Coturnix japonica: one gene and its partners. The protein of the gene in region 1 purifies or fractionates together with the protein of each later gene. This does not show direct contact. Links are inferred from orthologs where the notes say so. Each region holds a gene or a part of one and is shown in the gene's direction. Other genes may lie near its edges. The genes, in order: MRGBP, TRRAP, BRD8, ACTL6A, VPS72, EPC1 and EPC2.

What was found.
Region 2: the proteins of MRGBP (region 1) and TRRAP purify together in Homo sapiens (co-immunoprecipitation; 3 studies listed by BioGRID and IntAct, counting the BioPlex papers as one, with this or other methods). This does not show direct contact. The link is inferred for Coturnix japonica from reciprocal best matches to the Homo sapiens genes MRGBP and TRRAP.
Region 3: the proteins of MRGBP (region 1) and BRD8 purify together in Homo sapiens (affinity purification with mass spectrometry; 10 studies listed by BioGRID and IntAct, counting the BioPlex papers as one, with this or other methods). This does not show direct contact. The link is inferred for Coturnix japonica from reciprocal best matches to the Homo sapiens genes MRGBP and BRD8.
Region 4: the proteins of MRGBP (region 1) and ACTL6A purify together in Homo sapiens (co-immunoprecipitation; 4 studies listed by BioGRID and IntAct, with this or other methods). This does not show direct contact. The link is inferred for Coturnix japonica from reciprocal best matches to the Homo sapiens genes MRGBP and ACTL6A.
Region 5: the proteins of MRGBP (region 1) and VPS72 purify together in Homo sapiens (co-immunoprecipitation; 5 studies listed by BioGRID and IntAct, counting the BioPlex papers as one, with this or other methods). This does not show direct contact. The link is inferred for Coturnix japonica from reciprocal best matches to the Homo sapiens genes MRGBP and VPS72.
Region 6: the proteins of MRGBP (region 1) and EPC1 purify together in Homo sapiens (affinity purification with mass spectrometry; 6 studies listed by BioGRID and IntAct, counting the BioPlex papers as one, with this or other methods). This does not show direct contact. The link is inferred for Coturnix japonica from reciprocal best matches to the Homo sapiens genes MRGBP and EPC1.
Region 7: the proteins of MRGBP (region 1) and EPC2 purify together in Homo sapiens (co-immunoprecipitation; 4 studies listed by BioGRID and IntAct, counting the BioPlex papers as one, with this or other methods). This does not show direct contact. The link is inferred for Coturnix japonica from reciprocal best matches to the Homo sapiens genes MRGBP and EPC2.

The regions. Positions count from the first base shown.
Region 1 is NC_029535.1:7,458,414-7,462,399, forward strand, and holds the start of MRGBP (MRG/MORF4L-binding protein), read left to right. Parts: upstream 1-1,186; 5' UTR 1,187-1,210; coding exon 1,211-1,442; intron 1,443-1,738; coding exon 1,739-1,860; intron 1,861-2,433; coding exon 2,434-2,515; intron 2,516-3,126; coding exon 3,127-3,201; intron 3,202-3,949; coding exon 3,950-3,986.
Region 2 is NC_029529.1:1,402,507-1,406,006, forward strand, and holds part of TRRAP (transformation/transcription domain-associated protein), read left to right. Parts: intron 1-794; coding exon 795-891; intron 892-1,224; coding exon 1,225-1,363; intron 1,364-2,108; coding exon 2,109-2,187; intron 2,188-2,677; coding exon 2,678-2,912; intron 2,913-3,243; coding exon 3,244-3,500. UniProt on the Homo sapiens protein: Adapter protein, which is found in various multiprotein chromatin complexes with histone acetyltransferase activity (HAT), which gives a specific tag for epigenetic transcription activation.
Region 3 is NC_029528.1:11,890,451-11,893,061, forward strand, and holds part of BRD8 (bromodomain-containing protein 8), read left to right. Parts: intron 1-286; coding exon 287-379; intron 380-603; coding exon 604-672; intron 673-1,342; coding exon 1,343-1,520; intron 1,521-2,171; coding exon 2,172-2,276; intron 2,277-2,611. UniProt on the Homo sapiens protein: May act as a coactivator during transcriptional activation by hormone-activated nuclear receptors (NR). Isoform 2 stimulates transcriptional activation by AR/DHTR, ESR1/NR3A1, RXRA/NR2B1 and THRB/ERBA2.
Region 4 is NC_029524.1:15,354,701-15,358,773, reverse strand, and holds the start of ACTL6A (actin-like protein 6A), read left to right. Parts: upstream 1-1,273; 5' UTR 1,274-1,411; coding exon 1,412-1,436; intron 1,437-2,409; coding exon 2,410-2,486; intron 2,487-2,706; coding exon 2,707-2,881; intron 2,882-3,485; coding exon 3,486-3,586; intron 3,587-4,073.
Region 5 is NC_029540.1:2,245,309-2,249,409, reverse strand, and holds VPS72 (vacuolar protein sorting-associated protein 72 homolog), read left to right. Parts: upstream 1-1,301; 5' UTR 1,302-1,364; coding exon 1,365-1,481; intron 1,482-2,046; coding exon 2,047-2,199; intron 2,200-2,400; coding exon 2,401-2,512; intron 2,513-2,621; coding exon 2,622-2,801; intron 2,802-2,886; coding exon 2,887-3,028; intron 3,029-3,196; coding exon 3,197-3,578; 3' UTR 3,579-3,664; downstream 3,665-4,101. UniProt on the Homo sapiens protein: Deposition-and-exchange histone chaperone specific for H2AZ1, specifically chaperones H2AZ1 and deposits it into nucleosomes.
Region 6 is NC_029517.1:12,828,581-12,832,080, forward strand, and holds part of EPC1 (enhancer of polycomb homolog 1), read left to right. Parts: exon of another isoform or gene 1-298; intron 299-1,015; coding exon 1,016-1,134; intron 1,135-1,215; coding exon 1,216-1,302; intron 1,303-1,781; exon of another isoform or gene 1,782-1,952; coding exon 1,953-2,094; intron 2,095-2,234; coding exon 2,235-2,601; intron 2,602-2,876; coding exon 2,877-2,949; 3' UTR 2,950-3,500. UniProt on the Homo sapiens protein: Component of the NuA4 histone acetyltransferase (HAT) complex, a multiprotein complex involved in transcriptional activation of select genes principally by acetylation of nucleosomal histones H4 and H2A.
Region 7 is NC_029522.1:31,150,190-31,153,689, reverse strand, and holds part of EPC2 (enhancer of polycomb homolog 2), read left to right. Parts: intron 1-1,004; coding exon 1,005-1,338; intron 1,339-2,537; coding exon 2,538-2,610; 3' UTR 2,611-3,500. UniProt on the Homo sapiens protein: May play a role in transcription or DNA repair.

The DNA.
Region 1 (3,986 bases):
TTACGCCATGTCTATGAGTGCACACCCTGTTCAATATCCCTGTTTGAAACAATCAAACAGCTTTTTGCTAAGAATGTGGGTAATTGGAAGAAACCCGGGGAGCATCTTCTTGCCTCTTGGCTGGAAGCAGCAGCACTTCTGTAAAGAGCTCTATGTGAAAGGGCTCCAACAAGACACAGGCTTCTCATCCTTTTGATTCTTCCTTCTTGACAAGTCCTGTGGGAGAAAAGCAGATCTATTTCAAACCACCACCACTGATAGTTCCAACTCCCTATCCAGCTCCGCTGAAGCAAAACTTCCCACACATTTCACACCAAAATAACAGATTGAAAGTACGGGAAAAGCTCACAAATCAAATCAGCACTCTTCAGGAGGTCCTTATCAGGAAGAATATTTTACTGAGAAATACTGAAAGATGCCAAGGCACTGAGGTTATTTCTCTTGTATGAGGGTTTACTGGCTACTGAGTGATTTGGTGCAGGACTGGGCCTCAAATGCATGCATTCGGGCATGTAGAAATCTATGTATGTCATGAAAACTGGCATCATATCACAGAATCACAGAATGAGCCGGGTTGGAAGGGACCTCAAGGATCATGTAGTTCCAACCCCCTGCCTGGCAGGGCCACCAAACATACACCTTTACTACACCAGGTTGCCCAGGGCCCCATCCAACCTGGCCTTGAACACCTCCAAGGACGGGGCATCCACAACCTCCCTGGGCAGCCTGTTCCAGGGCCTAACCACTCTCCTAGTGAAGAATTTCCCCCTAACATCCAACCTAAATCTTCTCTCTTTTAACTTAAAACCATTTCCCCGTGTCCTGCTATTGTCAGCCCTTTCCAAGAGTTTCCTCCCCTCCTGGCAGTAAGTTCCCTTCAGGTATTGAAAGCTGCAATGAGGTCACCCGCAACCTTCTCTTCTCCAGGCTGAACAAACCAAACTCCCTCAGCCTGTCCTCATAGGGGAGGTGCTCCAGCCCCCTGATCATCTTCCTGTCCCTCCTCTGGACCCTTAACAAAATCTCCATGATATCGTAGATAATTCAACATAATAGTGGGTAATTAAGTGATATTGATATTCATATACTATTGTACTTTCAGAGGTAGCCCTATGTTCTGCACAGCCCGCCCCTCCGGCCGCCAGGAGCCGCTGCGGGAACGGCAGAGGGCGCCGCGAGGCGGCTCGGCTCGGCCCGGCTCGGAGCGGCCATGGGGGAGGCGGAGGGTGGCGCGGCCGCTGCCGTGGAGAAACCGCCGCTGCCCGCAGCCGGCCCCGGTACCGCCGCTGCTGTCGCTGCCGCCGCCGCTGCTGTTGCTGCCGCCGCTGCCGCGGCTGCCTCCGCCCCGGAGCCCGGCGTGCCGGCAGAGGAAGCGGTGGTGGTATGGAGCCCCGAAGTGGAGGTTTGCCTGTTCCACGCCATGCTGGGCCACAAGCCCGTAGGTGAGAGCAGGCCGCGCCGAGCCTCGGCCTCGAGTAGCGGCGTTGGCCGGGTTGGAGTAGCGGGCTGCGGGCACTGAGTGGGGCTGCTGCCCCCAGCGGCCTGCGGGACTGGCCAGCTCTCGGTGCTGGCCAGCCAGGCAGGGCTGCCCATTCATCTCCCTGTATGATCTCTCTCTATGATTTCCTCTGTGATTATGGGTTGTTTGCTTGCTTGTTTTTAACGATTCATATTATTTTGCTGCACAAATCAAGCTGTTGGCGATGTTAATTACACTGTTTCCCCTCCTCCCCCCCAGGTGTGAATCGCCATTTTCACATGATTTGTATCCGTGATAAATTCAGTCAGAATATCGGACGGCAGATTTCATCCAAAGTGATTTGGGACCATCTGAGCACCATGTACGACATGCAGGCTCTTGTAAGTATAAAGGAGTGGAGATTGAGCACTTAATTTCCTGTCGTTCAGGAGCTGTGATTGGTCATAGTCCCTGGAACCTGACAGCTGACAAGTGACAGAACATGATGTATGTTTTCAGCAAGGTGATGAAGTTCTTTCCTGTATGAAAGTGCATTAGGTGGGAGACAATAAAACTTACACTGTTTTGGTTTGCGTTTTCTTTTTTGCCATACTGAGTTCTGACTTTTCAGTGTCTTTATTCCATTTTTAATTGCCTAAGAGCTGATCCAGCAAACATTTATGTAGGTACTTAGGTACCAAACAGACAACTTGTGTATATTTAAGAATTTGCTACAGTTTGATTCCAGAAATGATCTGTAATGGTCATTATATCACTCATATCACAATGAGTTGTGATCTCAATTAACTTAGGAACCAGTTTGATGTCAGGAGCATCTTTAATCTCTGCTGCCTGAATATCTTGTTAATTATTTGGCTACCGAGTGCACTTAAAATAGAGCTTGAGATTGCATTTCTATTCTATATGTATATTTTAATCTTTACAATCATAAAAATCTCTATTTTCTCCCTAAGCATGAGTCTGAGATTCTTCCATTTCCAAATATAGAGAAGAATTTTATTCTTCCTGATGAGCTGATTCAAGAAGTGAGAGAAGGTAAGATGTGATAGAAGTCTTTTATTTCTTTTGTTGCTCTAGGCCCATCACAGAACGAACAGCTTAACAGAACACCCAGAAAAGAACATAACAATGTACCCCATTAACATAAATACATGGCTGTTCTTTCAGACTGGTGTGTTAGAAGAGAACAGATAGATCTCTTGAATGTGCTGGCTGAAGGAAGTAATCAGGGAAAGGATCACCTTGCTGGTTTTGTTCGTATTCCCCATTTATCAGCCTCTTTGATTCTCCACTGTAGAAAGGAAACTAGTGGACAGTACAGACCCTTGGTCAAGTTCCACACGGTATTCCTTGTATTCTTAAATCTGATATACATGAATGCTAGTATGGCACACACATAGGTTCTGTTTATACCATGTAGATTCAGCTTCTGGGGGTAGACATTTGGACTTGTCACAAATACCTGTTGCTGGTATAACCAATGTGTTTTTATTGTTAGGATGTGCTTATTTTTAGTATAGTTTATATGTTTTAATTCTAAGGGCGTTGCAGTTACGCCTGATGTCTGTGCACATAATGCTGAGGCTGCTAATGGAGAAACCCTTCTTCAAAACCATCTAAACATTGTTTAATGATTATTCCCATAGGAAAAGTGATGATGGAAGAAGAAGTGAAAGAGGAGATAAAAGAGGAGATGGAAACACACGCAGGTCCAGAAGAAGGTAAATTTGTAACTCTCTGCAGCATAATGAGATTTAAAAAACAACTGTAATTCTGAAATATTAATGTTAAAATGTAAATATCATATATGGTGTATTCTGTGATTTCTGCTCAGACTGAGTATATGCTTGTTGTAAAGAACTAAAGTAACTTAAGAATGCATGGAATAAGCAGTTGCCAGTATCTGATTCTAATGGAGATTCCTGCCTTGCTCCTAATTCATGTATGGAGTTATATAGCTTCTAACTGCAGCTTTTCACTACCTAAAAGGAGCCTGTGAACAGGAGGGGAGTCAACACTTTGAAAGGGTAGAAAACAGGACAAGGAGAAATGGTTTTAAGGTGAGGGAGGGGAGATTTAGGTTGGATGCCAGTGGAAGCTCTTTACTATGAGAGTGGTGAGGTGCTGGAACAGCTGCCTGGAGATGCTGTGGATGCCCCTGGAGGTGTTCAAGGCCAGATTGGATGGGACCCTGGGCAGCCTGGTATGGTGACAGATATGGAGGTTGGTGGCCTTGTCTGTGTTTGGTTTCTTTATGAGAAATTAAGGTCAATAAATCAAAACATGAGATACTTAAGTGGGAAGGAGAACAGAGTGGGGTTGGGTTATGTCTGTGTTTGGAGGATCTTTAAAGGTGCTGAGAATGTATTTATTTGAAAGGCTTCATATAATACAAAGAGATTTTATGTCAGTTCTTGTTTGCTATGTGCGTGAGTCTGATCTGGAATCATTACTTTGATCCTATTTCAGTTTTTGCACCCTCTGGAAGTTTAGGAAAAACAAGTGA
Region 2 (3,500 bases), on another chromosome or scaffold:
CTGCTATTCAAGGTTATTTGAAATATTTTTTTCTCTTATATCCTGTGAGTTTTGCTTCTAGTCTTAGTGCTTTTAATCTCAAAATACTTGAAGTAATTGGCAAATTTGAGTATTTCCATTATGTGTCACTAAGAAGATTCATGGTTATGAGCTGCCCCCCAGTTTATTATTTGATAGGCATTTTTAAAAAAATGGAGTTTCTGACTCCATCTGAAATTGATTTTACCACAGATAGAATGTGATGGAGACCACACAGCTGGGACTTCGGAGCTGTTTCTCTTTAGGAAGCCACCATTGTTACAGTTTTGCTTTTCCAAGTCTAGCTTGCATGGAGCCATGTGGTCTTGCAGATGTGGGCACTGTTTTACCTGCTTCAGGGAGATGTTTCTAAGAAGCAGCAATTGGTGCTGTGCAGTGCAGCAGGATTTCTACCTCTGTCTTTCCCTGTCTGCTCGGATGATCTGCATAAGTCTTTGGAACTTGGGAGATGTGCAAGCCTTTGGGAAGGAATATTGCTTGGAGAAAAATGGCCCCAGCTAAGGGAAGAGAGGCAGCTGTTTGGTGAATGTATTAGCTTAGTTTTCTGATGGGGGTTGAAAATTGCATGCTTGCTTCAGAGTTGCACATTTCTATTTAAAGCATAAAATGTTGGCTAAATGGGCTCTCCTGTAATGAATTTATTTTCTTATGCAGCAAGAACCTCTGTTTAAGATAATGTAATTTGATACTGCCATGAATGTTCTGACCAATTGAAGAGGGGGAGAAGAATAACCACTGTTCAATTTTGTTTTCAGGCAACATAAACTTTATAACAAAGAACTGTATGCTGATTTTATCGCTGCTCAAATTAAAACATTGTCTTTTTTGGCTTACATCATCAGAATTTATCAGGTAGGTTGCATTTTTGTTACCTTACTATTAAATGCAACAGATCTCTCATTACTCTAAGGTGGGAAAGCTACTTGTATGACTGCTGGAGAGAAGAGCAATTGAGTAGCAAACCTGACCACATCTGTAGGGCTGTACTCAGTTATGCTTTCAAAAGTGTTCTGATGTGAACACGAAATAAAAGCATGTATAGAATGGCTACTGTGTTTTATTTTCACAAGCAGACTTCCTAAAGAGAAGTCACTGAATTTTAGTACAATCTTCTATTGGAGATTCAAAAACAGAGTTTTAAAGCAGAGTATAATAATAATTTGTTTTTTCATTTATTTTTTATAGGAATTAGTGGCTAAATATTCTCAGCAAATGGTGAAAGGAATGTTGCAATTGCTTTCCAATTGTCCAGCAGAAACAGCACACCTCCGGAAGGAGCTTCTGATTGCTGCTAAGCACATTTTAACAACAGACTTGAGGAGCCGTACGTATGGTTTTCTACAGTGTATCTATACATTGATAAGGTTTCAGCTATTTCTGTGTATCTAGTAGGTACATTTGTGTACGATTTGGTTTGGACTATTACACACTTCTCGCTACTTTGGAAAGGGGGTGAACTTAGCTTTCAGTTCTGTTCTTTTTGGGTGCCTCTCTTTATTTGAGGTTTTATTTTCCTTTGTGTTATTTGAAGGTGGGATCACTCAACACTTCCTGTCATTGCCATCATCTGCCCTTTGGATGGAGTGAACTAATCAATTCAGTCTTTTTGAATTCTATATTTAGAAAGAAAAAAAAAGCGTATTTGACCTTGCTTTTTCATTTGAATTTGTTACTGATAGCTCTTCTTATTTCCTTGAATCCCAAATTCCATGTATTCTTTCTCACATTTTGGGATAGAGCTTGAATGATAGATGACACACCAAACAGCGTTTTCATGGGCAGTAACTCATTAGTTGCTTCTAAAAAGTTCTGTGAAGTTGAAATTAATGGAACCACTTTTTCCAGCTGTAGCTGTTCTCATTATATCCATCCATAGTGTTGCTTTGACTGTTCTGTGAAGTTACTCAAGGGGCAAGTGCCAGGAGAGTTATAAGAGTTTGACTGAGAGCTTTCATGTTTCAAGAGTAAACTTTCTGTCTTTGGTTTCAATATGTACAATGAGTTGCTTAGTGCTTAACGATCTAAGTATTTATTTAGCTTTCATTTTCTTTCTTTTTTTTGAATTACAGAATTTATTCCATGCATGGACAAACTGTTTGATGAATCTATATTAATTGGCTCTGGATATACTGCTCGAGAGACACTGAGGTATGGCAGAAAGGTTGGAATGTCTTTGTGAGTGCCTGCCATGGCTGCTTTCTTTCAGGGTTTGCTAATATTTAACTGTCTGTATAGAATTTTAAGACTTTATAGGGCTCATTTTCATGAAGTCATGAGTAACTGAGGATTAATTGTGAAAAAGCTTACCAGCACAGCTTCCAGTGTGGTTTGAAACATCTGAATTGTTATGGAGATGATGTTGTGTGTGGGGATGTTCAGCAGTGGGTGAATAAAGATCCAAGTAGTTCTAATATTAGTGTTGTGGAATGGATTAATGCTTCTTCGGTGAAGTTATACAGATTGTAATTTTTATGTGTAATTGAAAAAGCCTCAAAGCAATGTGTTTGCACATAAAAATAGAAAATTTTAATTCAGAATCTTGGAAATAGATCAGGTGGTGATTATTGGTTAAGTCCAATTAGCAACTGTTATAATTGTTCTCAATGTGTTTTCTTTGTTTCTTGTTTTTTACTGACAGGCCCCTTGCATACAGTACACTGGCAGACCTGGTGCATCACGTCCGGCAGCATTTACCTCTCAACGATCTCTCACTTGCTGTCCAGTTATTTGCTAAGAATATTGATGATGAGTCGCTGCCTAGCAGTATCCAGACAATGTCCTGCAAGCTCCTGCTAAATTTGGTTGACTGTATCCGGTCTAAAAGTGAACAGGAAAACGGGAATGGTAGAGATATTCTCATGAGAATGTTGGAGGTATTGACATGTTTAAAATTTTTTATAATAAGTTGAATAGCCTAATTAGTGTTTTGTAGTATATTATCAGTCACCCTTTACTCCCTCCTTCAGAAATGAGAATATACCAAAACAGCATGTTAACACCTCGTGGTACACTTGAATATGTTTGCAGTTATTCGAGCTGTTCCAGAAATATGGTTTTAAACCTTATTGATTTAAGTATGTTCAATTGAAGGATTAGGGTTATTAAATGTAGAATAATTTTTAATTCTAAGGTGGGAACTTACTTTCTTTTTTTCTTCCCCTCTCCCCTCTGCTCTTCTGTTTCCTTTCTTCCCTCTCCCCGCAGGTGTTTGTTCTGAAGTTTCACACCATTGCACGATACCAGCTTTCAGGGATTTTTAAGAAGTGCAAACCACAGTCTGAGCTTGGGGCGGCTGAGGCTGCATTGCCTGGAGTGCCAACAGCAGCAAATGCAGCACCTGTTCCTGTTCCATCTCCTGCTCCAGCCACTCCAGTGGCCCCTGCGCCTGTACCTGTGTTTGAAAAGCAAGGGGAGAAAGAAAAAGAAGATAAACAGACTTTTCAGGTTACAGACTGCCGAAG
Region 3 (2,611 bases), on another chromosome or scaffold:
ACAGGTGCAAATCCCAGGCTGTTTCCTGGGGGGAGTGCAGGATTCTCATTTCTGTTTTGCTGAGTGGGTCCAGTGGGGGAATTTGTTGATGATTTGTCTGGCACTAGATTGTCCTTACTCAGAAGTGCAGGTGTTCAAACAGTGCTGTAGTGCCAGGTCCCATTTTTTATATTTCTCTCTGGCTTGGGTTACTGTAAGCATGACAAAGGCAAAATGAACCGTAAGGTTTCTGCGCCAGGGCAGTATGGAGATTCACAGAGGAAATCATATTCTGTTTTTTTCTCAGCTCAGTGTGCAGTGAGGATCAGGAAGCAATACAGGCTCAGAAGATCTGGAAGAAAGCCATCATGCTGGTTTGGAGAGCAGCGGCTAATCACAGGTGAGTTTGATGTCTTGAGAACTGGCAGAAAGAAGTGACTAATCTCAGGCAAGTCTGTACTTTCCCAGCTCTGAGGCTTTACCTGCCTTGTTATGGGGAGATGATGAATCACACTGTTAGTGATAGCAGACAAATAAACATGAGAGCATGACACAAGTATTTGAGAATTGTTCCTCTATTGGCAGGGGCAGGGCATTCACTGGAATCTCTCTCTATCTCTTTAGGTATGCCAATGTCTTCCTGCAGCCTGTGACTGACGATATAGCACCAGGCTACCACAGTATTGTGCAGAGGTGAGTCTCAGCATTCTTATGTGACAAGAACTCTGGTGTATTTGCGTAAGAATTTCTGCCAGGAAGAGTCTAGAGTTCATCCATTGTTCAGACTGCAAAACTTGAAAAATACCTTTCTTCTGACATCATTCATTGTATTTCCCTAAGAAAAAGGGACACCTTCAGTAACACATACAAGTCTGTACACAGCCCTGTCCTTGAATGAAATACAGATTTGACCAGAACATTTTTTTATCAGTGAAGTGGTATGTGACTATCAGCTTCTCTGTTATTGTCCAAGGGTTGAATTTAAGGTGTGATGTTCCCACAACCCGGATTCTTTAATCAGCTCTTTTATTGCCTCAGAAAGTCTAGATTATGGAAGAGTTACCAAAATGTGCCTAAATAGTCCAGTGGTTGTAGCTGTGGCTCCCTTGTGTCACACGGAATGCTTGGAGAAGGCAAATGCCTCTCTTGAGGCAGCTGTTACATGTACTTACCATTCCTGTTAACTGCTGAGCAGATTGTGTCTCCTGATCTGAAGCCTTGGAACTCAGGAATGCAGCCTATGTGGGAACATATTCTGCTAAATTAAATAGATGGTCTAATTAGATATGTTTTAGTCCTTAGACTGCAAATGAGAAAGGAGAGAGTTACATGTTTGCATTGCTATTTTGAATGTATTTCATAGGCCGATGGATTTATCTACCATCAAGAAGAACATTGAGAATGGACTGATACGAACCACAGCTGAGTTCCAGCGTGACATTATGCTGATGTTTCAAAATGCAGTTATGTACAATAGCTCTGACCACGATGTGTACCATATGGCTGTAGAGATGCAGCGAGATGTCCTGGAACAGATCCAGGTAAAGTACTGAGCTGAGGCTGTTTCAGAACAGAGTTGTCTGCATTGGTCCACAGGTACAGGAAAGACTTCTGGAAGTGAAAATGAAGTTTCACTCACAGTGTCTTCAAATGAATCCCCATCTTTGCCTGCTTGTACTAGCTTAGGTGTTTGTGGTGAACTGGATTGTTAAAACTAACACAGTGAGATGTTTGTTTGGCTTAGCCCAGACTAATTTCAAACCTGATTTCCTTTGGGGGTGCACATATGCTTAGGCCAGCAAGAACTGGGGTGTGGTTCAGGAACAGAAATGAGCAACAAGATCAGTGAATGACAAGGGACGCAGCTGCTGCTTTTGGTGACTGTCAGTCTGTGCTGGCTTGAGGCACATACAAAACTGTCCTGAGATTGTCCTTTGAATATGTATCATTAGAATTTCTTCTGAAGCAGAACGTCCCAGCTGCCAGGGCTGTCATAGTTTGAACTGGATTTTTATAGTCCCTCCAGACTTGTGGCTGCTGAGGTGAATGGGGAAACTTATTCTGAGCAGCAAACAAGGAACTGAAACTGTCTCTGACCCATTCGTTCCCAGCCCTGTGGTTTGTGATAGCTGACAAGCTTTAACTGAGCTTGTTTTGCTAGAGAATCTTAACAGAGTATGGTTTTCCTGCAGCAATTTCTGGCTACACAACTGATCATGCAAACGTCAGAGTCGGGGATCAGCGCAAAGAGCCTGCGTGGGCGAGACTCCACTCGCAAGCAAGATGCTTCAGAGAAGGTGAGAATGCTGCACCCTGCAGAAGGGCGGCTGGTGTCTTTTGGAGGATCTCAAGATACCACATAAAGTTCCAGTACCAAAGATGTGCAGAATGTGTTTTTAGATTGGAATAGGTCCTGCATCTTCATGTGAACAATTTACTGTTATTATGTTTCTTTAACTAAGTCCATTGATTAGACTTCAGCTCTGGGGATGTACATCAACCCAGAGATGGGTCTGAGAGTCATGAGTTATTTCTGCAATCCCTATGTTTCTGTCCGTGATTTCAAGAGCAAGTGATGAAAAGTGTTGTGAAATGAGGAAATATTGGAGGAAATATTGGAGGAGGTGTGGTA
Region 4 (4,073 bases), on another chromosome or scaffold:
AAGACAGCTAACAGCCTGAACTTCCCTCCCCAGATCCTCCAGGCTTCTTTGCACAGATTTAGTCTCTTATCTTTGCACTCACCAAATCCTGAGGCTTCCAGACAACAGCAGGACTTGCAGCATACATTCAGTTCTCACTATCGGCACCAGGCAATTGCTGAGCAGGAAAGATTGGTCGTGCACAGGAACGCCCTCTCCCCATGCTGCACAGCCACACGCCTCTTCTGCTGGCACCACTGGGAGATCTCAAGTGCTGCAAAAGTTACAGATAAATGAAGCAGCAGACGGCTGTCTTGGTGTCTCACAGAATGACCTGGGTTGGAAGGGACCTCAAGGATCATGAAGTTCCAACCCCCCTGGGCCCCCTGTCTCACCCACAAAGCTATCATAAGCCACTCTTGGGGAGAGCAGGGTCTGCCCCAAAGCATCAGTTACCACAGGGATGTTATGAACCACTATGAAAACAAAGCCCAAGTACAGGCACAAGCTGAAGAAACGTCCCCCAGTGTTTTAACACCCATTTTGCTTTACAGCCTTCCCCAACTGCAATTAATTCATCCTTCTCCACCAACTCTACCTTGGGTATTAGTGCCACGTGCTAGAAATCACTATAACACATTAAAGGGCACCATAAAATAAATCAAAGCACACCAACATTACACAGTACAACTAGTGGCAAAGAAAGATTTGTGCTGATCTTCCTCATGCAAACACCTATAAAACTCTTTGAAAAGGCTGACAATAGCAGGACATGGGGAAATGGTTTGAAGTTAAAAGAGGGAAGATTTAGGTTGGATGTTAGGGGGAAGTTCTTCACTAGGAGAGTGGTCAGGCCCTGGAACAGGCTGCCCAGGGAGGTTGTGGATGCCCCGTCCTTGGAGGTGTTCAAGGCCAGGTTGGACGGGGCCCTGGGCAACCTGATCTAGTAAAGGTGTATGTTTGGTGGCCCTGCCATGCAGGGGGGTTGGAACTACATGATCCTTGTGGTCCCTTCCAACCCGGGTCATTCTGTGATCCTGTGGCACACCCACCTCAAGAGCTCCTCCCTCAGCTCCTCCCTCAGCTCCTCCTCCAACTCCTCCCTCAGCTCCTCCCGCCCCTCTCTCCTCACACCGCCCTTCCCGCGCACTGCACCTACACTTGCTTGCTCTCACTCTCCTCTACCAAGCTCCTCACTTCCCGCCTCATGATTGGCTACTCATAAGCAAGCCCCTCCTCCCTCCCTTCTCTGATTGGCCGCTGTGCCCACTCAGCCGTTCTGTTGGGTAACGCTCTGCAGTGCGGGCGGGTGGGCGGACGGCGGCGGCGCTGCCATTGGCGGGAAGGCGCGGGCCTGCGAGCTGCGCTGAGCCGGGCGGCGGGGCGAGAGACCGAGTGCTATTGTTAGCACAGCGCTGAGCAGCGGGCAGCCATGAGCGGCGGTGTGTACGGCGGAGGTGAGTCTGATATAACGACACTGTTGAGCTCCCTCAGGCCCGGCTCCCTCCCGCCGCATCGCTCCGTGTGTGAGGAGAGGAGGCCGCCGCGGGCCCAGGGTCCGTCCGACCCGTCTGGGTCACCTGCAGGGATGGGGCACACACAGCAGTGCCAGGGTCTCACTGCCCTCTCTGAAAAATTGCCCCCTAACATGCGACCTAAATCTCTTCCTTTAGTGTGGAACCATTCCCCATCGTCCTGTCACTATCAAACCATGTAGAAAGTCAGTTTCCCTCTTGTTTATAAGCTCCCTGTAAGGCTGCAACAAACTGTCACTGGCACCTTCTCCAAGCTAAGCAAAGCCAGCTCCCTTTCTCCATAGCAGAGGAGCTTCAGCCCTTTGATTGTCTTGACCCTCCTCTGGACTCACTCCAACATCTCATTCTTATGCTGGGGGCCACAGGCCTGAATGTGGTACAACAGATGGGACTTGGCGAGGGCAGGGCACAAGGGGATGGTCACCTTCCTTGCTCTGCTGGCCACCCCTCCCCTGATGCAGCTCAGGATGCTGTTGGCTTTCTAGGCTGAAAGCACACACTGCTGGCTCATGTCCAGCTGTCTGAGTCTCAAGTCCTGTGCAACACCTTGTACGTGGCCTTGTTGAATGTCATGAAGTTCATGTGGACTCGCTTCGCAAGCCTGTGTTTAGATGCAGCTCTCGTCTGTTAAAATTGCCCTTTTTCTTTTGCCAATGAAAGGTATTGCAGTGTCCTGGTTACAGCCTATCTGTAACCTCCTGGTGGCTCTCAGTTAGCTTGAATTCTGAATAGAGAAATTGCTCTGTGTCTCAGGAAAGATGCTTTATCATATTGGGCTTTTTTTTGTTTGTTTGTTTGTTTTCTGGCAAGCAAAGCAGACAAGAGATAAGTTCAGGTCAGGATTGCAGTAGAGCACAATAACCATTCACTACTTCTTTGTTAACAATCTTTGCAGATGAAGTTGGGGCTCTTGTTTTTGACATTGGCTCGTATACAGTGAGAGCAGGCTATGCAGGCGAAGACTGTCCAAAGGTAAGAATCTTTATGAACTCAGTGGGATTACAATTGGAGCTTGAACTTGTTTATTAGTCATAAGCTTCCAGAATATACTGTTTATTATTATTTAAGGAAAACTCTGAATTTTATTAGCCCCCTAAAAAACAAACCAATGAAAAACAAAACCAAAAACCAACAAAACAACCCACATCCAAAATGAATAACCTTCATCAATATTTTACCTTTTGCTTTACAGGTTGATTTTCCAACAGCTATAGGCGTGGTGCTAGAAAGAGACAATGGCAGCACTCTGATGGAGATAGATGGTGACAAAGGCAAACAAGGGGGCCCAACGTACTACATAGACACCAATGCCCTGAGAGTCCCAAGGGAAAATATGGAGGCCATTTCACCTTTAAAAAATGGAATGAGTATGGTGCTCTGTCTTTTTTAGCTGTCTTTAAGATACAATTGTTAGGCTGCAACAAGTCATAGCTTTCATGTAAACAGATGCTATCCATGTCAACTGTTTTTTCCTTTGGACTTAGAAAGCAGGCTCGTAAAGAAACGGTTCTGCTTTCACTTAAGATATTTTAATACGATAATGAGCATTTTTATGTCTTAATGGGAGACTTGTAGATTCTTGTTTATTTGATGGCTTTAATTTAGCTGTCTCCTTTGATAAAACAATTAAGAAACAAGTTTTTGGAAATAGTTCCTAATATTGTTCCTGTAACGTGTATGGACAGAGGCTATCAGCCATAAGAATGGCTCAATTTACAAAATGTCAGTGGACTTTTATTGTAACTTATTTATTTATTATTATTTATAATAACAATTCTTATTTGCTGTCATGATGCTTAAAAAAATATAGATGAGAATTTGGCAAAGCAGGAGGGGTATAGGGCTGCTGAGGACGGCTTTTGTCTGAAGAGCTCTTAGGAAAAAAAAAAACATCAGGAAAACTTTATGTGGATTTATGAAGTAGATCAAAAGTTAGAAGTAACTAATCTGCTTGCTTCGATGTCGTTGCAGTTGAAGACTGGGATAGTTTCCAGGCAATTTTGGATCACACTTACAAGATGCATATTAAATCTGAAGCGAGTTTGCATCCTGTCCTTATGTCTGAAGCACCAGTGAGTAAAAGGAGCTTTGCATTGTGAGGAGACTTATCAGTATCTTCTTGCTGAATCTATAGACATTAGTCTTGGAGAAACCCAGCACTGGCTTGTAGGTTATGAGTGTTAAAACTGAACTACAGAAGTAACATTTAAAAATATCATGCAGGTTCTGGAAAGTATTCTCAATAGGAAAAATGTCAAAAAAAAGCCCAAATTTGAAAGAATTTCTATGCGTTTCATTAGAACACACTTACTATGTGTTACTGTATTTCATGTATTTAAAAAAAAAAAAAAAAAAGTAGTATAAAATCAAAAATAACCTCACTTGACAGCACAGAATAAAAGCAAAAAGTTGTCTGAATGTCTTCATATATTACACTTAATCCATCTTTGCATGCAATCAGCCTGCCATCTAACGTGACAGGGAATAACACGTGTAGTGGAGTTTTAATTTCGTTTCAGCAAATGCTCCTGTAACATAAATGAGGTGCATGAACACAGA
Region 5 (4,101 bases), on another chromosome or scaffold:
GTCTAAGAGAGGCCCCAGAGATGGGATGAGAGCTTTAAATGCTGCACTGCTGGGGATCAGCCGAAGTGAACGCACTTCACATCACGCAGCTCTGCCACCAAGATTGAAACCCAGCAGGAAAAACACCCTGACCAACACCAGACTGCCCTGCAAAGCAAACGGCGGCGCAGATCCCAGCAGGGAGGGAGAAGAGGTTGAGACTCGTGCACTTCTATCCCATGTGAAGCTCTCCACGCTCTCTGAGCTTTATGGAGGCGGCAGCTCCTCCTCCGGGTGAGAGAGGTGAGATGTGTGACATCTCCGAGCTCCCAAAGGGAACTCAAAGCACGGCGGGAGGAGAAAGAGCAGCTTCACCCTGAGCCGGCAGAGCCACGGACCCCCCCATTCCTCACAGCGCCGTGGGAACAGCAGGGAGCACCAACAAAGGGGGCGGGGAGGGGGCACAGACCCATTTCCAGAGGCTCCAAATGAGGAGCGCGATGCCAGGAGGCCGCCGAGATGAGGCCCCGCTGGGCAGCAGCCCCCCAGCCGTCCCCCTTTGGGCAACCAGAAGCTCTCCGTGCTCTGCCCTGCAATCAGGAACGGCCTCAGCGCTCTGTGCCAGGGACGGCGGTAGAAATCACTCCGGTTCCACGTCCAGCATCCCTAAACCAGACCCATTACCACCAACTTCGAAGGCAATAAGGAGTGTAAGCCCCCTCTCAACACTGACACGGCCGAATCGCAGCTCTAAGTGCCCCCCATCATCCCTACCCCGGGCCGAGGGCAGCCCCACACCCCCCATATCCCCCACATACATCACTATATGGTGACCAACCCCCCTCCCCCCCACACGGTGCCAAACGGCCCCACAGCCCCCAACGGCCGCGACACCCCACCGGGCAGGGGGAGACCGTCACCTCAACCCCCCCCCCCCCCCCCCCCCCCCCCCCCCCGCCCCCCCCCCCCCCCCCCCCCCCCCCCCCCCCCCCCCCCCCCCCCCCCCCCCCCCCCCCCCCCCCCCCCACCAGCCGCTCCTCGTCCCTCCGGCTCTCAGCTCCGCCTCCCCCGCCGCCCCCGGGCCCGGCCTTAGTCCCCCCGTACCCCCGAGGCCGCCGCTGCTGCCGCTGCTGCCCCCCGACTCGGGCCCCGCCGCCGCCATCTTGCCGCCTCCTGCGCCCGCCGCCGCCTCGCGCGAGGCCACGCCCCCTCGGTACCACCCACGTATGGAGGAGGGGGGGGATGTGAGTCACGTGCTCCTCGAGCAGCCAATAGAAATCAACCCAGTCTTCCGGACCTCCGGGCCGCAAGGGGGCGCTACATCGTTCGCTCCGCCCCTACGGCAGGACGACGAGTCGAGCGCCGATGGCGGCGGAGGCGCCGCGATGAGTTTGGCTGAAGGCCGCGCCCCGCGGCGCACGGCGGGGAACCGGCTGTCGGGATTGTTGGAGGCCGAGGAGGAGGATGAGTTCTACCAGACCACGTATGGGGGGTTCACTGAGGTGCGACGGCCGGGACGGGCTGGGGCAGGGGGGCTGCGGGGCGGTGTGAAGCCTTAGAGGGGGGACCCGGGGCCTAAAGGGGGTCGGGGGTCGTGAGGGGTCCGGGGAGTCGTCAGGAAGGAGATTTATGGGGGTGTGAGGTGGACTGAAGGGTTTGAGGGGGTTGTGAGGCCTTAGACGGGGGTTGGGAGGGAACCCGGGGCCTAAAGGGGGTCGGGGGGGTGCGGGGGGTCCTCAGGGGAGGCCTGGAAGGGGATTTATGGGGGTGTGAGGGGAGATGAGAGGGTTGCAATGGAGGCTGAGTGGGATCGGGGACATTTAGAGCCCTGAAGGGGTTGGTGAGGGAAACTGGGGGGGGTCCTGGAGGGGCTGGGGGCACTGAGGGGTCAGAATGGGGACGGAGGCACTTAGGAGGACAGAATGGGGCAGGGGTGGCTTTAGATGGTCTTTAACAGGGGCTCCAAATGGGGCTGGGAGGACCCCCAGGGGCAGCTGTCAATGAATGGCCCATGGGGGGGTGGTGGAGCGCAGCCCTGGCTGTGACGCTGCCCATCTGTCCCTGCAGGAGTCGGGGGATGATGAGTACCGGGGCGACCAGTCGGACAGTGACGATGAGGTGGACTCCGACTTTGACATCGATGAGGGCGAGGAACCGACGAGCGACCAGGATGAGAGCGAACCCAAACGGCGCCGCCGCGTGGTCACCAAGGCCTACAGGGTGAGGAGGGGAAAGTGGGGATGGGGCTGGGTCCATCCCAGTGTCCTCTGACCTGCTGGGAAGGGATACGGATGGCCCCAGATGGATGGGATAATTAGCAATCTGCTAATTGCTGACTGTGGGGAGGACGTGTCCCTTGGAGGACATGGGGCAGCCCCATGTGGTTTCTCCCTCCTCACATCCCTCCTGCCCAACCCTTAGGAGCCCATCAAGAGCCTTCGACCCAAGAAGGCCGACACCCCCAGCAGCAGCTCCCAAAAGGCCCGAGAGGTGAAATTAGCCCCACTGGAACTCCAGGATGAAGTAGGAGACAGTGAGTGCAGTCAGGATGGGATGTGCCAGCATCCCTGGGCTGGAACCAGGCACCCCACTGCCCTGGGAGCTGTGCTGGCCCCACACTGAGCCCCATCCTCCCACTGCAGGCCGGAAGCACATGAGGCAGTCAACAACAGAGCACACACGTCAGACCTTCCTGCGTATCCAGGAGCGCCAGGTTCAATCCAAGCGCAAGAAGGGAGGCCCCAACTACGACCGCCCGCTGACACAGGAGGAGCTGCTGGAGGAGGCCAAGATCACGGAGGAGATCAACCTCCGCTCGCTGGGTGAGGAGAGCACAGGGATTGGGAATGGGATGGGGGGTGTAGTGGGGGGTGCTGAGACCCTCTGGGCTCATCTCTGCTTCCCCAGAGAACTACGAACGCCTGGAGGCTGATAAGAAGAAGCAGGTGCAGAAGAAGAGGAAATGCGTGGGGCCCGTGATCCGGTACTGGTCCGTCACCATGCCCCTCATCACAGAGCTGGGCAAGGAGGAGAATGTGGACGTGGAGGGGTGAGTTGGGAACAGCAGATGGGATCCTGATGCTTTTCCCTTATGCTGCACACAGTCCCCATCGCTCCCATCCCTGGGGCTCAGTGTGGAGCAGCATGTTTAGTGCTGCCCACAGCCTGGGCTCCCCCAGCTCCGTGCATCCCTTAGAGCTGATTGTGGCTCTTCCAGGTTGGACCAAGACCCTCAGCAGGCAGAAGCTGCTCCAGCCTCCAGCTCCAAGTGCTCCCGCACCTTCATCTCCTTCACTGATGATGAAACCTTTGAACGTTTCTTCCCCAAATCGAAGGCTCCGCGGTTGCCGGTGCGGGAGATCTGCCCTGTAACCCACAAACCCGCTGTATATCGTGACCCCATCACTGACATCCCCTATTCCAACATCCGAGCCTTTAAAATCATCCGTGAGGCTTACAAGAAATACATCACGGCCCACGGGCTGCCCAGCGCCGCTGCTGCATCCGCTGCTTTGGGGGCTGCTCCTCCTGGCCCTGACCCTGGTCTGAGAGCCACGCGGCAGAAGATCATCATCAAGCAGAGCGTGCCCACGGCCTGAGAGCGCCTGTTCCTTGTTCCATGTCAACCTGTTTTGTGTTGTTGTTTTCTTGGCTTCTTTTTTGTAATAAAAAGGAGAAAAAAGAAGGAGCTGGAGGTGAGGGGGGAGCGCAGGTCGTGCCCTTGTTGCTGGGTTATCCAGCAGGATGAAATGAAGCCTTGTTTGCAGGCAGATCCATGCAGTGCCCCACACACCCTCCCATAGTGTTCAGATTGGGGCTGGAGGTGAGAAGGGCACACAGGCGGTCTCAGAGCTGTGGGATGTGGGGCAGCTCCGGGACATGTGGGGCAGCCTCTCTCTGCGGTGATAGAGGTGCCTCCCACAGCACCAACCCCAAACCTTCACCCCCCCCCCGATGGGGCGGACGCAGCGATGAGCCCCGATGCCCCGGGGGGGTGGGGGGGGCTCCTGAGGGCGGCGGGTACCGGGTGGAGCAGCGCGGGGCGCTGGTAGGGCTCGATAACAGCGGGATATGTGATCTCGCCCCTCCCCACTGCCGGCTCGCAGAATAAAACGCTGATCT
Region 6 (3,500 bases), on another chromosome or scaffold:
TTTCTGACGGTGATGGGCCTGAAAACGTAGCGGAGCAGGCAGTGATCGCATTGTGTGAACAAGATGCAGTGGGGTTTGTTGCCGTACAGGAGAGAGCTCTCCTGAAAGTACAAGTTGTGCATCAGGAGTGAGTGCTGCTCACAGCACTGACTGGGGAGTGTCTCTTTTATCCAGAGATGAAACCAAAGGAGAATCCTGAATGTGCACCATTGGCTGAATGTGTTCAGGAGAGTCAGATTCCAGGTTTGACTTGCTGTGAAACTGACAGCAGGTGGTTCTTGTGTCTAGGAGCTGTAAACTGAGAAAAACAAAAGATGTTAACGCTTTATGAAGCTAATTGATAAACGAATGGCACTTGTTTTCCACTGGGCATCCCCTCTGAGCGTGTACAAAGTGCTGTCCTTAGAAGTAGCTTTTTTCCAGGACTGGTGGGGTACGATGGCAGCGGGTTTGTCACATGCTGAATTCTGGGTCCCCCTGCAAAGATCTTAGGGAAGAAATTGAATTGGAGTTAGAATTTTGTCCCATGTAAAGTCATGAGCTAAACTTAAAACAGAAACGTTTCATTTGGACTTGCTCCTTTCAAGCCATTATCTGCGTAGCCTCCTGTTCATTTCCCTCTTCTTGTGTGGAAGCATGCCTTATTATTAATGCACGCAGCTCAGTTTAATGGAAGGTGGCAGCTTGTGCCATTTCTACCTGTGAAATTTTAATATTACAGTTCTGTGTGGGTTTAGTTGTTTTTGGTTCCTTCCTTGCCCTCCCTTTTTTGCTGCCTGGAGCACATACAGTGCAGCAGTGCAAGTCCACGTGCTTGAAACAAACAGCTCCAGGGGTGACTTAGTTTGGAAGGGCCTTTAGAAAGATGCTGGCCTTTCTGCCACGAAGGTGCTCTAGGGCTCTTAGGAGCTTGCTGGGGTGTATTTATGTGTGAAGGACTATGACATAGATGTGTTTATATACACAACACCTACCTATTTTGATATAGTATTCTCTCGTTTTATATTTTGTTCAGCATTTACAGCCGAACAATACCAGCAACATCAACAACAACTGGCACTAATGCAGAAACAGCAGCTTGCACAAATTCATCAACAGCAAGCAAATAGTAATTCCTCTGCCAACACATCACAGGTGAGGGATTTGTCTGTGCTATGATTTATCCCTCATTGTTTCCCACCAGGGTTCATCTCTAATTGTCAACTGTTGCCATAGAACCTTGAAACTAACCAACAGGAAAGTGGCTTTCGCCTGAATCTACATCATAGCCATTCTGTAAAGTGTTTAGAAGGGACACTGCAGGTGAGTGTGGCAGGCATTGCCTCTGCTCCCTCTTAACAAAAAACAAAAAGATGGGTCAGTCAAATAATTAAATACTCAGAGCCTTAGGAATATGAATTGCAAAGATCTCCAGCCGTGTCGTTACCCTTTTGGCACTGGGAGACTTGAGAGCCGGCTGTTTTCTTAGTTAACAACTAAAGCCGGCTCTGAATGTGTCCTTTGTGCAGATGTGGAAGTGTCTTAACGCTCAGCAGTGTGTGGTGTTTGCACTGAGGATGGACACGTCTTTAAAAACGTTCAGAAGTTACTGGCAATCTGAACATCTGAGGCACTGAACTGGGTTTGGAATTTCATGAGAACAGTTTGACCTGTAAAACAACGTTGTTCCATAGAACTTGGAAAATAAGTTCCTTTGTGTTCTATTAATAGTTGTGGGGTCTTTCATCTCTGTTGTGTCACGGAGCTAAAATCACATAGAGAGATCACAGCTCAGCTCTTACCTGCTTGTACCAAATGTCAGCAGTTGAGCCTTGCGAGAATGACTGGGCTGGTGTGATGTACGTGGATGGATTTTTGTTTCACTAGTTTGTGTGTAGCTTTAAAATGAGGAGAGTGCTGAGGGAACCCTGGGAGCCTCAATCACAGATGTGTGCCACCATTGTTCTTTTTAGGGTTTTGTTTCCAAGACACTGGATTCTGTTAGCGCTCAATTCGCTGCTTCAGCTTTGGTTACATCAGAACAATTGATGGGATTCAAAATGAAGGATGATGTGGTGCTTGGAATTGGGGTGAATGGCATTCTTCAAGCCTCAGGTACGGAGCTGTTTGTGCAGAATTTGATCGTGTCGTGGGTTTTATTAGAGTTGTTAATTTTTTAGTTGTGGAGATATGAGTTTGTCTGGGCTTGAGGAACTTCTGCACAACAGACTTAGTGTTTTGTTTCTCTTTTGCAGGAGTATACAAGGGCTTACACCTCAGTAGTACTACACCTACAGCACTTGTCCATACAAGTTCATCAGCAGCAGCAGGTTCAGCCTTGCTACAGCCTTCAAATATAACGCAGACTTCAAGTTCCCACAGCGCACTGAGTCACCAAGCATCTGCTGCCAATTCTGCAACAACTCAGGTTCTGATTGGGAACAACATCCGATTAACTGTACCTTCATCAGTTGCCACTGTAAACTCTATCACCACGCTCAATGCACGACATATACCTAGGACTTTAAGTGCTGTTCCATCATCTGCCTTAAAGCTGGCTGCAGCGACAAACTGTCAGGTGCCCAAGGTTCCAGCTTCATCCTCTGTGGATGCCGTACCGAGGTAGGCTGTTTCTCTGCTCTGTGTACATTTTCCAGTCGTTTTGCTATAAAAAGGTGTTTGTGGCAGACCAGAACTGGGTCGGGCTGGATGAATGCTTCTGTGGGAGTGAAGCACAGTGTGAATGTGGAAGCGTAAGATGAGGGTTATTTAGGAGTTGCGTTGCTGTTTGTTTTTCAATGTAATGCCTTTAAATGGGTCTGTTTCAGCAGCCGATGAGCTGCTCCGCCATCTTTTTTTCCAGTCTTGCTAATTTGTTGTCGTTGTTGTTTCAACAGGGAAAACCATGAAACAGAGAAGCCAGCACTGAACAATATAGCGGACAATACAGTAGCAATGGAGGTGACGTAGTTTCCATAGGAGTGGAACTGCAGCCTTGGGAACTTGTTTAGGTGCTATGCATCAGTAGCATTTTGAATGCAAGGGATGATGGAATGCCGCACATTGCGTTTCCATGGCAGCTGTGGGGACTTGACAGCGATGCACATCTCTCACGCTTTGGTTTTTCTTTTCTTACTGTTAATAGGAAAGAATCAACATCTGTAAATTAACAATACAGCAATTATCTGTACAGTACTGCATCTTTGTAATACCCTTGTATATATGTTACTTGAATACAAAACTGTTCATTTGTGATGCTTTGCACTTGGGGTCGGGGGGAGGGAGGGAAACAAACTGCAACAAAGTAAGAGTGTGAGATGTGAGATTGTATAGAGATGAACAAGTGTCATCACATCATGTGCATGGTGCGGAACCTGCTGTTTTATCTATTTATTGTGCCGTGTTTACAGTTTTTTGTACACTGTACCTTCATTGGTTCCTGTGCTGTAGTAAATGTGTTAGGTAGCTGTGGACTCCTTGGTATTTTGTAAATGGTATAACATAACTTGGTTCCCCTCTGG
Region 7 (3,500 bases), on another chromosome or scaffold:
TCTGCTAGGCTGAATAGTGAAATAAGTAGAAGTGTGAGGGGGAGAGCAGTGCAACACAGCTGAATAAAATCAATATACTGGAACTGATCCAGTAAAGAAAAGGGCAACTGTGTATAACTTGCTGAAATATCAGATCTGAGAGTGTAATGTTTTGAGGGATACAGGATCAGGTGTATGTGTGTGTACCATGTATCAGCACGATAGCCTTACAGTTGATGAAAAATATTGCAGATATGCATATAAAATTAGATTTGTGTTACTGTTCCAAGGCTGTAGATGTCACTGATGTAAAACAGCCATTCCAGCTTCAGATAGGAAGATTTAAATTAGGACATATTGACTAAAACCAGCTTTTTGTAGGAATAGGGAGAAATGTTCTTAGACCCAGTTTTTTTTTTTTCCATCAGTGAATAGGAAGAGGAATCCTGAGAGCCACCAGTTTGAGTATGTGCTGTGCTTGATTGTAGCTAGAGCCTGAAGTTCTCCCACCATCTGAATACAGACAGCACTGCTTTGTAAGCTGGGAGGGGTCCTGTACTCCTCATTCTGTTGCCTTGAAGACCCAAGTAACTCATGGTGGTGCCAGTCAGATAAGGGAGGAGGTGATTCAAAGCATCAGAACTTGGCTTCTCACTCAGTCTCTATAGTTGCCTGGCTAAGCTGTGGTCCCATATGATGTACTTTTATGGGGAATGCTGCACTTTAAGACTCCTAAATTGAAGTGCATGAAGTTGGAAAATATAAAAGCTCTTTGACACTACAGACTCTTCCACTTTCTGATGTCTTTGTGAATGAAGCAAACAAAAAAAAACCCCCACTTTTAAAATACTCCTAAGCTTGACTGGAAAGAATTCTAAGACTTTTCATCTGTTTGAGTCCTTAAAGCAGTTAACACAGGGATGATTCCAGTGACTCACATGCTTAAATCATTACTGTTGAGATTTAACCTTTTGTCTTTAAATCTAAATGGCATGTTTTAATTAAAAACATTTGCTTTGCAACAGGAACCTCTAGAACGTTGTACTCCACCAACATGGCTTTATCATCCAGCCCAGGGATTTCAGCTGTACAGCTTGTAAGGACAGTTGGCCACACCACCACAAACCACTTAATTCCAGCGTTGTGCACAAGCAGCCCTCAAACACTTCCCATGAACAATTCTTGCCTGACTAATGCAGTGCACCTCAACAATGTCAGCGTTGTTTCTCCAGTCAATGTGCATATTAATACAAGGACTTCAGCACCATCGCCAACAGCCTTAAAACTTGCCACAGTTGCTGCCAGTATGGACAGAGTGCCAAAGGTAACTCCTAGCAGTGCCATCAGCAGTATAGCAAGGTAAGCGCAGAGCAAGTTAGAGCACAGATTCCAGTTAAAACTTCTGCCAGTTTGGAGCACACTAGTTTTGGTCGTCTTCCATTGTGTTTAAGTGGCTTCATTCTAACCATTTTCATTTGTCCCTTCTTATTCAGCACTTGCCAAGTAGATTCTTTCAAACTCTCCATGTGTTCTCTCTGCAGCTATATGTACCCATAATGTAAGATGCAGGCTGGCATATCTATTTTATACATATGTATGTGTGCATACACGTTTTGAATTCAAAATAGAAAACAGATATAAGCCAGTCTGTCTCTTACTATGCATGCCTTTATAATGTATAATTATTTTCATTTACGAGTACTTAGCCAGTACTTAAGTGTTCCACAGGAGTGGCAGTGGCTTGTAGCTGATTATGTTTTGCAAATGACAGCATTTGGGCTCTGTTGTAAAGGTCTCTGCTGGATTGTATGATGCTTTAAAAGCAAAAAAGAAATACTTGTCTATAGGTTAAGAAAGCAGAAAAAGAGCATTAGCTTTATCCATTATGGATTATTTCATGACATATCCAGAGTTGTTAAAAAGAGCTTTTGAGATGGAGAACCACACGTATAGTACAGTCCCTGTGCAGAGAGTGGAAAAGCTGTTTTTAAATTAGCAATTGCTTTAAAGCGTATTCCTGTATCATTAGTGCCTTTAGCTCTTGTTTCCATCGAGTCACAGGGGTGTTTCAAGTCAAGTCAGCATATGCCTGAAAAAGAACCATCTTAGCTGAATAGACCTAAGGCTCCTCTACAGGGGATGGTAATAAAGTCAGAAAGAAATTAGAATTTTTTTTGTGCTGAAACTGAACTGGAAAAAAATAGTTCACAAATGGAATAATTGGTAGCTGTTGCACAAGTCCTAATGGCATACCGTGACTCTGTTCCTTCAGGAGACTTATTATTATCTGTAATTTGGGCTGGTAATTTATAGTTAAATGCATTGAAGTTGGGACATCTCTGCTAATACTCTTGTAGAAGGAACTGCAATGTTCATGGGGTTAAAGCCATTCTTAAACCACCAGTATTTCAGCTTTAAATGGTCTGTTTCTATCTAGTGTGTATGTTAAGGTTTGTCCATAGCCATGTAAGAGCACAGAGCCTGTAAGAAATCACTGAAATTGCATAAGGAAATATCCGTGTTCTACCTGTAATTGTGGAATGCTTCTTTTGTTACAGAGAGAACCATGAACCAGAGCGGCTGGGTTTGAACGGCATAGCAGAGACAACAGTAGCAATGGAAGTGACATAACCTCAAATCAGTGTCTCAACCTGTGCTAACGGTGTAGTCATTTATATTCCAACCGAATGCAAAATACAGCACTCTGTGGATCACAGAGAACTAAAATGGACCTAAATGGACTATCCTTATATCGTGTATTAAGTCGATATATAATGTAAATTTTGTAAAATTGGGAGAATCACTACCTTGTAAAATAGTTTATTTGTATCATCAATATTATTTCTGTTACTTGAATAGTAGATATTCATCATCATGCTTTTGCACTTGAATTTGCAACTGAATGGATTAAAAAATAATTCTTTAATGGGATCATGAGCATGAAATGGGATCCTGCATCACTTGTTTTAACTATTTATTTTGCCATGTTTACATTTTGTATCTTGTACAAATAAATCCAACTTTGTGTCTAAAAAAAGAAGTTAAAGATTCATAGCTAGGAGACAAAATTCTTGTAATTTTTTTCTAAAGGAAATGTAAAGTTTTCACTTGGTTCATTTTGTTTCACAATTTGACTAGATGGACTTTTTGGTAAATACTTTAGTGGCATTTCACTGTCAAATATGAAGTTCAAGGCAAAATAGTATTTTCTATTACTGTGCAGGGGAAAGGGATGGATCGATACATGCAAATTTAATGTAGTAACTCACTTTTCCATATATTTTGAATGTATATTTCTATTTATAATACCAGTTTATAAAAAATAATTACACAGGAAAAAAAAAAGCTGACTAGGAAAATTATGCATCTGACACATATAAAATTGTGCAGATAAGAGAAAATTTTCAACCAATGACATTTTATCCGAAGACTGCATATTTTAACCGGCTTTAAAACTGTAACACACCACGTAAAGGACATTTTACCAGGTATGTATTGCATTATATATCATTGCAATAATT